Linked DNA regions of Caenorhabditis elegans. The gene in region 2 interacts genetically with the main gene of each other region. Each region holds a gene or a part of one and is shown on either strand. Other genes may lie near its edges.

Region 1 (3,754 bases), on a different chromosome or scaffold from region 2:
GTGAACAGTTTGACTGAATTAATTAAACATAATGGCTTGAATGCCATCTCCGTCTGTTTCAACAGATATGAATCTATTCTTTCACAAATCCACTGCGTCATTCAGGACTTCATTTATCTTCCTATTGATTCTTCAATTCACTCCGATTAAGTTTTACTATTTGATGAAAGTTCAACTTCATCGTCATTTGAATTATGTGCTCTCTTTATTTCTGGTATTATTGTTTCTGATTTATGTATTCTCAAGAACAGACTTACATTTAAACAGTGTCTAATGTTGTTTTGTGTGAATTGCAATGAGAGTTTATAATTTTTGTGACTAATTTTCATTTTGACCTTTGAAGAAATAAACGATTTTTTTGTTGTTGGGTTATTTTTATGTGTATAGTAAAATTGAAATGATTTGCTTCTTAATATTTTTGATACCGTATATTCTCTATTAGTTCGGCACCCCCAATTGCTCAACTTTGACAGCTTATATCTCGGATTTAAGCCAAAAATTTCAACTAAGAACATCTTTGTTAAATCTTTTTCTTTTTCTATGTTTTTCATTTTTCGATATCTTCAAAAGCGTGCGAGTTACATATACGCTATTAAAATAGAGCGGTTGAGGTGCCGCACTAATAGAGAATATGTGGGATATAGAGCTCTTTTCGAATGTACAGCGTATCTGTTAAATTTCTGTGATAGTTTTTGAAAATTAGTTTCTGAAAATGAAAACTTATAAGTAGGTTACGATAGAATCATGGAATCGACTGCTACAGCACTTTCCGAAAGTTTGAATTCAGGATATGCAGGATTTCTACCAAAACGTTCCACCGCCTCGGATTTAATTCTCTAAAATCGTATTTCCTAGCCAGAAAAAAGACTTGCCACGTGTAAGCGAGAAGACAAGGCAAAGGCTTGATAGCAATCTTCGCTTCTAAGCATATGCTTTGAAAACCCCGCATACAGCCTCATCGTCGCCCTCATTTCTCTTCCAAATGGCTAACATTGTACCTATTCATAAATCTTTAGAGTATTCACTGGTTGATGTACCACTTCTTTGTAAGAATGATGATCCGAATGATGAGATTGTGATCTATAGCAAATATTCGAATTCAAGAAGATTTATTGATTGGGCTCTTGTTATCACTGTGGCAATTACAGCATGCTATTCCTTATTCACATTGAGCAAATTTTATCTTTGAATTATTGGGAAAAAAGGTTTTGATTGATTTCTTTTGGCATTTTAATTAATTTCTTCAGAAATGATCCCGGCAATCGAACTTGAACATTCTGGTAAAAAAAGAGCATCTAAGTATTCAATTGCGCTTTTTTTCTATATTTATCTTTTTTATAATTGGTTTTATACATAAGATTTTATAAGTTCTGATTTTTTTAATTGATAAAATAAATACATTTATTTATGCTCGATTGATCAAATTTGAAAACATTTTACAAGGCTCATAAAGATTAAATTAATTTTCTTTAATATCCAGTCACTTTCAAAAACTTGACCGACCAAAATAACTTTAAATGCTTAATTTATAAATTTTTTTAAAATTAATTTATCCAACTCCAGATCACGTTGCTATATAATTAGAGAGTGAGACGCAGAAAGTGCGAGTTGACGCACTTCTCGTGCCCCTTGATTGACGCTTTTTCTGTGGTTGGCGCGTTTCGTGCGCGCGATTTTCGAATTTTAGGTTCACTTTTTCCGAATTTCAGCAAATTTTCAGCTTTATATTTCAATTTCAGACATCAAAATGGCGACATTGGACGGAATTAATGTGAAAGATATTGTAAAGGTATTTTGTTGCTCATATATTCAATTTTTGTGTTCAATTTAGCATATTTTCTAATAAAATCTAGGTTCAATTGCATTACAGTATATTTTCCAGGTTGAACGCACCTCCGTACATTCACATATTACTGGTCTAGGTCTTAATGATCGTTTAGAAGCTGAATATGTGTCTGGAGGAATGGTCGGCCAGGTTGCCGCTAGACAAGCTGCAGGACTTATTGTCAAAATGATTCAGGTAATGTTTTCTGCACAAAAATTCAAAACTAAAATTGCTACTATATTTTTTAGGAGGGAAAAATTGCCGGACGTGCTCTTCTTGTGACAGGAGAGCCTGGAGCTGGAAAGACTGCTATCGCCATCGCAATTTCCAAAGAACTTGGTGAGGACACCCCATTTGTCAGTATTGTCGCTTCAGAGGTTAGTCTAATGTTTTTTTTCAGATTAATAAATATCTTTTTTAAATTTCAGATTTATTCAAACGAAATCAACAAAACAGAGGCACTTACTCAAGCTTTTCGACGTGCTCTGGGAATTCAGATTAAAGAAGAAACTGAAGTTTTGGAAGGAGAAGTGATCTCGTTGGAAGTTGATCGGTCAGCAAATGGAATGGGACCAAAGGTCGGAAAACTCACAATGCGTACAACTGATATGGAAACTATCTACGATCTTGGATCAAAAATGGTTGATGCGTGTCTGAAAGAGAAAGTGATGCCCGGTGATGTTATTCAAGTTGATAAGGCTTCTGGTGAGAATTTTATTTAATCAAAAAACTGAAAAATTATCGTTTTTAGGACGTGTTACTCGACTTGGCCGTTCATTCAACCGTTCCCACGACTATGACGCAATGGGTCCAAAAGTGAAGCTTGTTCAGTGTCCAGATGGAGAAATTCAAAAGAGACGTGAAACTGTTCACACAGTTTGTCTTCACGACATTGACGTCATCAATTCTCGTACCCAAGGATACGTGGCACTCTTCTCAGGAGACACTGGAGAGATCAAAGCAGAAGTGAGAGATCAGATTAATAAGAAGGTTTTGGAGTGGAGAGAAGAGGGAAAAGCAAAGTTTGTACCAGGAGTATTGTTTATTGATGAAGCTCATATGCTTGATATCGAATGCTTTTCGTTCCTCAACAGAGCCATCGAAGGCGAACTCAGTCCCTTGATTATCATGGCCACCAACAGGTTTGCAAATATATTTTTTTTAATATTGAGTTTTTAATTAAATATCTTTAGATTGATCGAAAAAGTGCGTGGAACAGATGTCGAATCTGCTCATGGCATCCCATCTGATTTCCTTGATCGTATGCTCATCATCAACGCGATCCCATATACTAAAGAAGATACAGCAAAGATTTTGTCAATTCGATGTGATGAAGAAGGAGTCAAGTGAGATATATCTTTTAAAAACGCTCCACCGGCAATTGGAAACGCTCTGTCCCCGATCCATGGGTCTTGTTAGGAAAATGGCGACAAAACCGTGAATTCAAACGTTTTTCGATCAGCTTCGCAGATTTCGCCAAAATTTAGGCATTTTTCCGATGTTTTAGTGGTTTTTTGAGCTGAATGAGGTTTTTTTTATTTGACTGAATTTTATTTTATCAGTCTGCATAAAAATCACTAAGAAAAACTGGAAACTTGAAAAAAATGACGAAAAATGCTTTAAAAAATTGGTGAAATCCGAGAAACTTATCAAAAACGTTTCAATTTCCGGTTTTGCCGTCAAATACCTAACGAGACCAATGTTTCGGGGATGGAGCATTTTTATTTGGCCGTGGAGCGCGATTCCACGTTTATTTTGAAACGGGGTTTATTTGTTCGACCCAACAATATTAAAAGTCGATAGTTTTCAAATCAAATTTTCAGATTGCAACCAACTGCCCTTGATCTTCTAGTGAAATTACAAGAAGCCACATCTCTTCGTTACTGTATTCATCTCATTGCTGCTTCTGAAGTTATTCGTATTCGCAGT
Region 2 (3,754 bases):
GTGAAATTTTTCCACCTGCCACTTAGTCAAATCTGTTGAGCTTAAACTGGCTCGTCACTGAGGCTGGGTAATACAGGAAGTTTGGTTCATTGTACAGTTGGGTTTACATTTAAAAGAATATATCACAGAAAATCAAAGAACGTGTAATTTATCTTATCATCCCGGAAATTTCTTCCAACTGACCCTTGGCTTTTGTGTATCTCTTATTACAATCAAAAAACCTCGTCTCCTCCCGGTGGAACCCAGAAAATGCTGCTGGATGCTCCAAGCGCTCCCACATGCCTTCAAACTCCTAGGCGCCTGGAGATAGTGTTGCAATCAAGGAGAGCGCGAGACGAAGAATCAGTTGTTACTTTTGTCTGGGTCTCTAGGGGTTTCGTGATATTCCCGTGTTGTCTTACAGCATCCGCGAATTGTTTTCGTCAGGATGAAGTATGAGATTGTGGGATTTGGAGAGAAGCTGATTTGCTGGAGAAGCACAAAAATCTGAAGAAAATGTTTGAAGAAGATAAAGCAAACGGAAAGACTATCCAGTTACATACATACTATCATGAGAATGATTTATGAGCCTTTTCGTAAATTTTTAGACAGATACTATTATCAGGAGACCTTTTAAAGCAAACGCGACAACTTCATAGTAGTTACCAAGGCTCGAAAAATTGATTGGTGCAACTTGAAGTTCGAATGAGTAGAATTGATAAGTATTACAGGTGCCTCCAAATCGATTGTCCGCCACAATGATATACCTCGAATCCATCTGATCAAAATTATTACTGTAGCATTGAATCGCAGTACCGTAATCAAATATTAAATATTTTTGCCCCCCTCTCCTCTACGTATCAATAAAAATAGTCTTAAAACTTACTTCGACTCCAAAGTAGGTTAGTATCAATTTTGCAGACTTTATTTGTAATGCATTTCTAACAAGGAAATTTTTACATTTTACCCTCAAACTTCAAAATGAGACATGTTTCATCTGAAGTGTTTTAGATTATGTCACGAAAGGTATGTCACTGCAAAATTTTAAGCAGCAATACTTTTCTCTCAACCCCTAAAATATCGATCTGAAATTGTCTCATTTAACCACTACTTTAGAGACCTGCATAATTGCTCTAAATGCTTTTTTGCAAACTTTGAAAGTTTTTCAGGAAGTGTAGGTAAACACTCCGGGAGGTTTTTAAAGAATTGTGATTTTTTTGGAGAATTGGTCTAAAAATTTTTTTGATTTTTTTTTTGAAAGAATTGTTATAACAATTTTCTTGATTTTTTTGCAAAAAAAATTAAAGGAAAACTGCACTGAAACAATTTCAGATCAACAATTTTAGGGTTGATATTAGAGCTTTGCCGCTTAGAATACTGCAGTGAGTATTTTCGGTTTTCACTGGTCTCTGTAAAAAGAGTAATGCAAAGGCAAGTTAACTAGGTCGTAAATGTATTGATTTGCTTAAAATCTGAAGATCTAGTGGTGAACCGTGGAAGATTATCAAGAGGAGGCTGAAGATCTGTTTAAGAACCATTAATCAAACTGGTATTCTATTTTCACTGGTTGTATGTAAACATTCTATCTTATTCCTTTTATCACTGTTCTGCACTTTCCTATAAAAAAAGTTGACCGACCGTACTCTCTGAATTCATTTTTCCCGATCTTACCAACTCCCGATCTATCTCTATCCCTGGTTTTTTCTTCGTGCTCCAATGGAATTCTTGAGACTTCCACTATCTTCTCTGGCACCCTCCACTACGCGTAGGCGTCTCTCGCTTCGTGTATTCCCGGGAAGCCGGGTTCCCGTCTCTCCCGCCGCTGCCGCTGCCGCACACAGCTTTACACCTCGTAGAATCCCCAAAGAGGGGCGTGGCTTGCGGGTGCCAACATCCTCCTGCCGAGGAAGAAGCAGGCACTCATCACTCGCATCATCAACCTCGACTAAGGGAGCACCACATTAGTTTTGAGGTAGAGAAACCATTTGAAAGAAGCGAGAAATCATGGAGCACGAGAAGGACCCAGGATGGCAATATCTCCGCCGTACCAGAGAGCAGGTTTTGGAGGTGAGTATTTATTTTTTATTTATTTATTTTTCTTTCATTTGTCTTTATTGTTATGCTCATTTCTATAGAGTAAATCGTATAGTACTCCATAAGTATCTAATTTTAACAAAACTGAGCATTTATTTTTGAAATTCTAGATTTTTAACATACAACTGAGTTAAAGTCTGCCATTTTACACTTATAGATTTTTTAAATTCAGGTAGAAGATTTGAGCTTGCCTTGTAATCCTTGTAATCAATGTTTATTTCTGTTTTCTAATTTTTCATAGATTTAGCTTCAAGATCATCTTTCCCTTGAAATCATTGAAATCTTCCTTTCTTAAATTTTTGCATTGCACTTGGAATTTTGTGACACATTGTGCTGCAGTAGTACTGTATTTTGAGACGGCACATTTATTTTGACTACACCACAAGCTTAACCTTGATTTTACTTTTTGATTCCATTCCATTCATGGGTCTAAAGTGTGAAGCGGTTTAGACCATTTTTCAACACAAGTTGGTATTCTTTAGAAGTGATATATTTCTGAATTCTGATCTCTTTTGTACCATTATTGTAATTTCAGGATCAATCTAAGCCTTATGACTCCAAGAAGAACGTCTGGATCCCAGATCCAGAAGAGGGATACCTTGCCGGAGAAATCACCGCCACCAAGGGAGACCAGGTCACCATCGTCACCGCTCGCGGAAATGAGGTTCGTTTTTAAGCTAATGATTACGGTTTTCAATGTAGTGTGATTCAGGTCACCCTCAAGAAGGAGTTGGTTCAAGAAATGAATCCACCAAAGTTCGAGAAGACCGAAGACATGTCCAACTTGTCTTTCCTCAACGACGCCTCTGTCCTCCATAACTTGCGTTCCCGTTACGCTGCTATGCTCATCTACGTAAGTTTCATTGAAACTTAAAGTTAAGCATTGAGAATCATTCATATTCTTCTTCTAAATTCCCATAAAATCCCGAAACTCCTTCCCTCTATCTTCTTTTCTTCTCGTTTTCAAATGTTTCTCTCTATCCCATTCTCTCATCAATTGAGTGGGATGAGGCTATCTCTGCCTCTCTTCTGAATCTCTGAACCATCTTACATTACACTGTGGATGACGGGAGCCCCACAGGCTCCCTTGCATCAGATACTGCCATTGGGGATGGCAAAGAAGAGAGAAGGTATTGTGAGGATATATTTTTCTAAGAAAAAACGTTTGAAGAAAAGAAGATGAAGAAGATCTGCTTGATTCATTGCACAAGTTAGAAGTAACAGGGGTCTATATTTCGAAGAACTTAAAGGGAATGCAACTGAACATAAAATTAAACAAAGGGATTGAATCCTGCAGTATTTAAAAATCGAAACTAGAATGTTTCCTATTTCAGACCTACTCCGGACTTTTCTGCGTTGTCATCAACCCATACAAGCGTCTCCCAATCTACACCGACTCTTGCGCCCGTATGTTCATGGGAAAGAGAAAGACAGAAATGCCACCACATTTGTTCGCTGTCTCTGACGAAGCCTACCGTAACATGCTCCAAGACCACGAGAACCAGTCTATGCTCATTACCGGAGAATCTGGAGCCGGAAAGACTGAGAACACCAAGAAGGTTATTTGCTACTTCGCCGCTGTCGGTGCCTCCCAACAGGAAGGTGGAGCTGAAGTTGATCCAAATAAGAAGAAGGTCACCCTTGAGGACCAAATCGTCCAGACCAATCCAGTACTTGAAGC
Region 3 (3,754 bases), on a different chromosome or scaffold from region 2:
TATCTGTTGGATGTCATGTGTCTCCATCAAGTTAATTTCATCCGCACTTCGAATATGAACATCCGTGAATTTGGTTCTGAATTCAATTTTGGCTCCAGCCTTGACAGTTGTTGTCAACTTTCCCAGTGTGATCAATTCTTTCAATGTCTTGTCTTTCTCGTATGCCATGGATACACATGAATCGATCCAGCGTTGATCGTGACGAGCAAATTCGAAACGAGGTGGACGAGACATGATTCCGTTGCGAACGTTGAAGCTGGTTCCATACACATTTCTGGAAGGATGAAGAGTTGAAATAGAAAATATTCAGAAAAGCTTCAAGACCTACTTTTTGGAAGCAAAATCTGGAATATCTTCTACTGATACGGCATGCTCTTCTTCGGTGATGTACTGCATATACTTCTTAAGTGAAGACATGTCGAAAGCATCCTTATTTTTGCATTTCGCATCAGAAGCTTGAGTTTCTGCAGAGGAAGAACTAACAGCTCCAACACTAATACCACTGTCCACATCCTCTAACTCGCTGCGATCGATGATATCAGGTTCAACTGAAGAGTCCAAGTCTTCGAAGAGTCCTTCAATTCGAGAATTCATCTGATCTCCTGCCAATGCTTTTCCAAGAAGAGCATCAAGAAGTGATTCCTCCACTTCGGCTGGAAAATATTTTGTTACAGAAAAAGAGCAAAAAACTATAAAACTGCTCACCTTGACCATCGTGAAGCTCGACAATTACTTCATTTTCGGAAGGGATGTCCACTTCTTCAGAGGATAATTCGTCATCTTCAAGTTCATCCACATTTTCAAGCTCATCATCGTCTTCAAACTCATCGTCGTTTTCAAATTCATCCTCGTTTTCATTTTCTTCGATTTCACTCAAAAAGCCGCTAAAATCTTCTTCATTTTCGGAATCCTAAAATTCTTGAATTATACTTTATTCTTGTTAATCCAGAAACTCACCGAATAAGAATCATTCTCTTCAAAAAGCGCAGCCATTGTTCCAAAAATAACTGAGACAGAATATTCGATTTCGAAGGATTGTCGAGGGAGCAGGATTTGGGACAAATTCCAGATAATTGTCTCAAAGTTGTGCTACCGTACTTTAAAGGTACATTGCTATTTTACATTAACAGGTTCCCGAATGGAATGCCATTTTTAATTTCTTGGGATCTCTATTGGTGATTATACAACTTTCGCAAATTCATTTTATTTAGAAAAGTTACTCTCGGCTTATATTTGACATTTACTTCAAATAAGAATATTATCTCTTTTTCCTCTTTCCCTTCCATTGAGACCCGAAGAACTCGGGGGATGTCCAACTGGGGGGATTACCAACTCGGGGGATTGGCCCCGCCCACAGAACCGTGGCTTGCAATACGCCCATTTCTGCAACTGCCGCACGGTTTTAAAATTATTTTTTCTTGTTAATTCTCGCTCTATTGAGAAAAATACAGTTTTAAAACCGTGCGGCAGTTGCAGAAATGGGCGTAATGCAAGCCACGGTTCTGTGGGCGGGGCCAATCCCCCGAGTTGGTAATCCCCCCAGTTGGACATCCCCCGAGTTCTTCGGGTCTCCTTCCATTGCTGTTTGTCTGCATTTGTGCGTAAAATGAGATGGCTGCACACATTTTCGAATTTTATTTTCTTTCCCTAAATTTCTATTTTTCATTCTATTTTCACGCTGACGCTTTCGTAAAATAATGGATATGGAAGTCGATGAGGCAATATCTGGTACTTCTTCTTCAAGACTTGCACCAATCGAAGAAGTGAGCTAATTTTTGAAAAACCTAGTATTTTAAATCGAATTTTTCAGGTAAAACCAACTCCAAAGCAAATTAAACGCATTGCGGCTCACAGTCACGTCAAGGGACTCGGAATTGACACAGAAACACAAGAAGCTCACTATGAGGTTTCTTTTTCAATTGTCCAATTTCAATAACTACTTATGAAATAAAGCCTATGCTAAATAAAATATTATTTCTACAGGCTGCTGGATTCGTTGGCCAAGCACCCGCCAGAACAGCTGCATCAATTGTAGTTGATATGATTCGATTGAAGTGTATGGCCGGACGAGCTGTATTGATTGCTGGACCACCCGCCACTGGAAAAACTGCAATCGCGCTTGCAATGTCACAGGAGTTGGGTGACGGCGTTCCATTTGTGCCACTTGTTGCAAGCGAGGTCTTTTCCAATGAAGTAAAGAAAACGGAAGTGCTCATGAGAAGTTTCAGAAGAGCTATTGGTCTGCGTGTTAAGGAAACCAAAGATGTGTACGAGGGAGAAGTTACAGAGTTGAGCCCCGTCGAAGCTTCAGATAATTCCGGAATGGGAAAAACCATCTCTCATCTTGTCCTTTCTTTGAAAACAGCAAAAGGAAGCAAGCAACTGAAATTGGATCCAAGCATCTATGACTCGATTTTGAAGCAACGAGTAGAAGTTGGTGATGTCATCTATATTGAAGCGAACTCAGGAATCGTTAAACGAGTTGGACGGTGTGATGTATATGCATCTGAGTTTGACCTCGAGGCTGACGAGTTTGTGCCAATGCCGAAAGGAGATGTTAGAAAGTCTAAAGATATTGTTCAAAACGTGTCTTTGCATGATCTGGATATCGCAAATGCCCGTCCACAAGGACGTCAAGGAGATGTTAGTAACATTGTTTCACAGCTGATGACTCCAAAGAAAACTGAAGTTACTGGTGAGTGATTGATAAACATTAAAACTCGAACCTTTCAATTTTTATTCTGTCTTTTAGATCGTCTTCGTTCTGAAATCAACAAAGTAGTCAACGAATACATTGAAAGTGGAGTGGCTGAACTAATGCCTGGTGTTCTTTTCATCGACGAGGTTCATATGCTTGACGTAGAATGTTTTACCTATCTCTATCGCGCGCTCGAGTCCCCAATGGCACCCGTCGTGGTTTTTGCAACTAACCGTGGAACCACAACAGTTCGTGGACTCGGCGATAAGGCACCACATGGAATTCCTCCAGAAATGCTCGATCGGCTGATGATTATTCCAACGATGAAGTATAACGAAGAAGACATCCGGAAGATTCTCGTTCATCGTACCGAAGCTGAAAATGTTCAATTCGAAGAAAAAGCATTTGATCTTCTAAGTAAAGTTGGAGCTGAAAAATCATTGAGATATGCGTTACAATTGATTGCTCCAGCTCGTCTTTGTGCTCAAACGTGTGGAAGAGAGGTCATTGAAGTAAGTTGCAGAATGTTGTAGTTCATGTATTAAATAAATCGCTATTCAGGTAGAGGACGTGGACCGTTGTACCAAATTGTTCATGGATCGTGGGGAGTCGTTGAAAAAGGCCGAAGAAGAGATGCGACAACCTAAAAATAAGAAGTGATATCCATTCATATCCGCACAACGACTCGGTTTTCCAATTTTGATTTTTCGCCAATTCATTTCTTGTTTTTTAAAATTATTTTTCTTCTTCTACAACTTATCTCATTCCTCTCGATCTTTCCTCAGTTGTTTCCCCACATGTTGAGGATCTTGTTATTTCGTTCCGATAGATCCCCCATTTTGCCCAATTTGTTGTTCGATTCCTATTTTTATACTGTTCCTAAAAAGAAAAAAAACGGTTTCAAGAATTGTTCGTAATGTTCACCAAAGCGGAAGGAGTGCATAGTGCACAGAATCGACAAAGAGGGACCCCGGCAATTCGTAATACGTCTTCTCCACGTCCCTGACGCCGCGGCATTTCCCTTCTTTTTCTCCCGTTTCTCTATCGATTCTGACA

What was found.
Region 1: of unc-54 (region 2) and ruvb-2, changing one suppresses a phenotype caused by changing the other (phenotypic suppression), as found in Caenorhabditis elegans (one study listed by BioGRID).
Region 3: of unc-54 (region 2) and ruvb-1, changing one suppresses a phenotype caused by changing the other (phenotypic suppression), as found in Caenorhabditis elegans (one study listed by BioGRID).

The regions. Positions count from the first base shown.
Region 1 is NC_003282.8:6,917,392-6,921,145, reverse strand, and holds the start of ruvb-2 (RuvB-like 2), read left to right. Parts: upstream 1-1,739; 5' UTR 1,740-1,747; coding exon 1,748-1,789; intron 1,790-1,882; coding exon 1,883-2,020; intron 2,021-2,073; coding exon 2,074-2,202; intron 2,203-2,253; coding exon 2,254-2,530; intron 2,531-2,576; coding exon 2,577-2,967; intron 2,968-3,018; coding exon 3,019-3,171; intron 3,172-3,648; coding exon 3,649-3,754. Other genes in the region: T22D1.18 (Transposase), read left to right, coding at 983-1,189. UniProt on the Caenorhabditis elegans protein: Possesses single-stranded DNA-stimulated ATPase and ATP-dependent DNA helicase (5' to 3') activity suggesting a role in nuclear processes such as recombination and transcription.
Region 2 is NC_003279.8:14,861,680-14,865,433, reverse strand, and holds the start of unc-54 (Myosin-4), read left to right. Parts: upstream 1-1,951; 5' UTR 1,952-1,983; coding exon 1,984-2,046; intron 2,047-2,608; coding exon 2,609-2,737; intron 2,738-2,785; coding exon 2,786-2,926; intron 2,927-3,407; coding exon 3,408-3,754. UniProt on the Caenorhabditis elegans protein: Required for muscle contraction.
Region 3 is NC_003283.11:9,978,640-9,982,393, reverse strand, and holds ruvb-1 (RuvB-like 1), read left to right. Parts: upstream 1-1,591; 5' UTR 1,592-1,697; coding exon 1,698-1,763; intron 1,764-1,810; coding exon 1,811-1,906; intron 1,907-1,983; coding exon 1,984-2,695; intron 2,696-2,752; coding exon 2,753-3,210; intron 3,211-3,259; coding exon 3,260-3,358; 3' UTR 3,359-3,603; downstream 3,604-3,754. Other genes in the region: tofu-1 (Schlafen-like protein 1), read right to left, coding at 1-274, 329-653, 706-910, 958-993. UniProt on the Caenorhabditis elegans protein: Possesses single-stranded DNA-stimulated ATPase and ATP dependent DNA helicase (3' to 5') activity suggesting a role in nuclear processes such as recombination and transcription.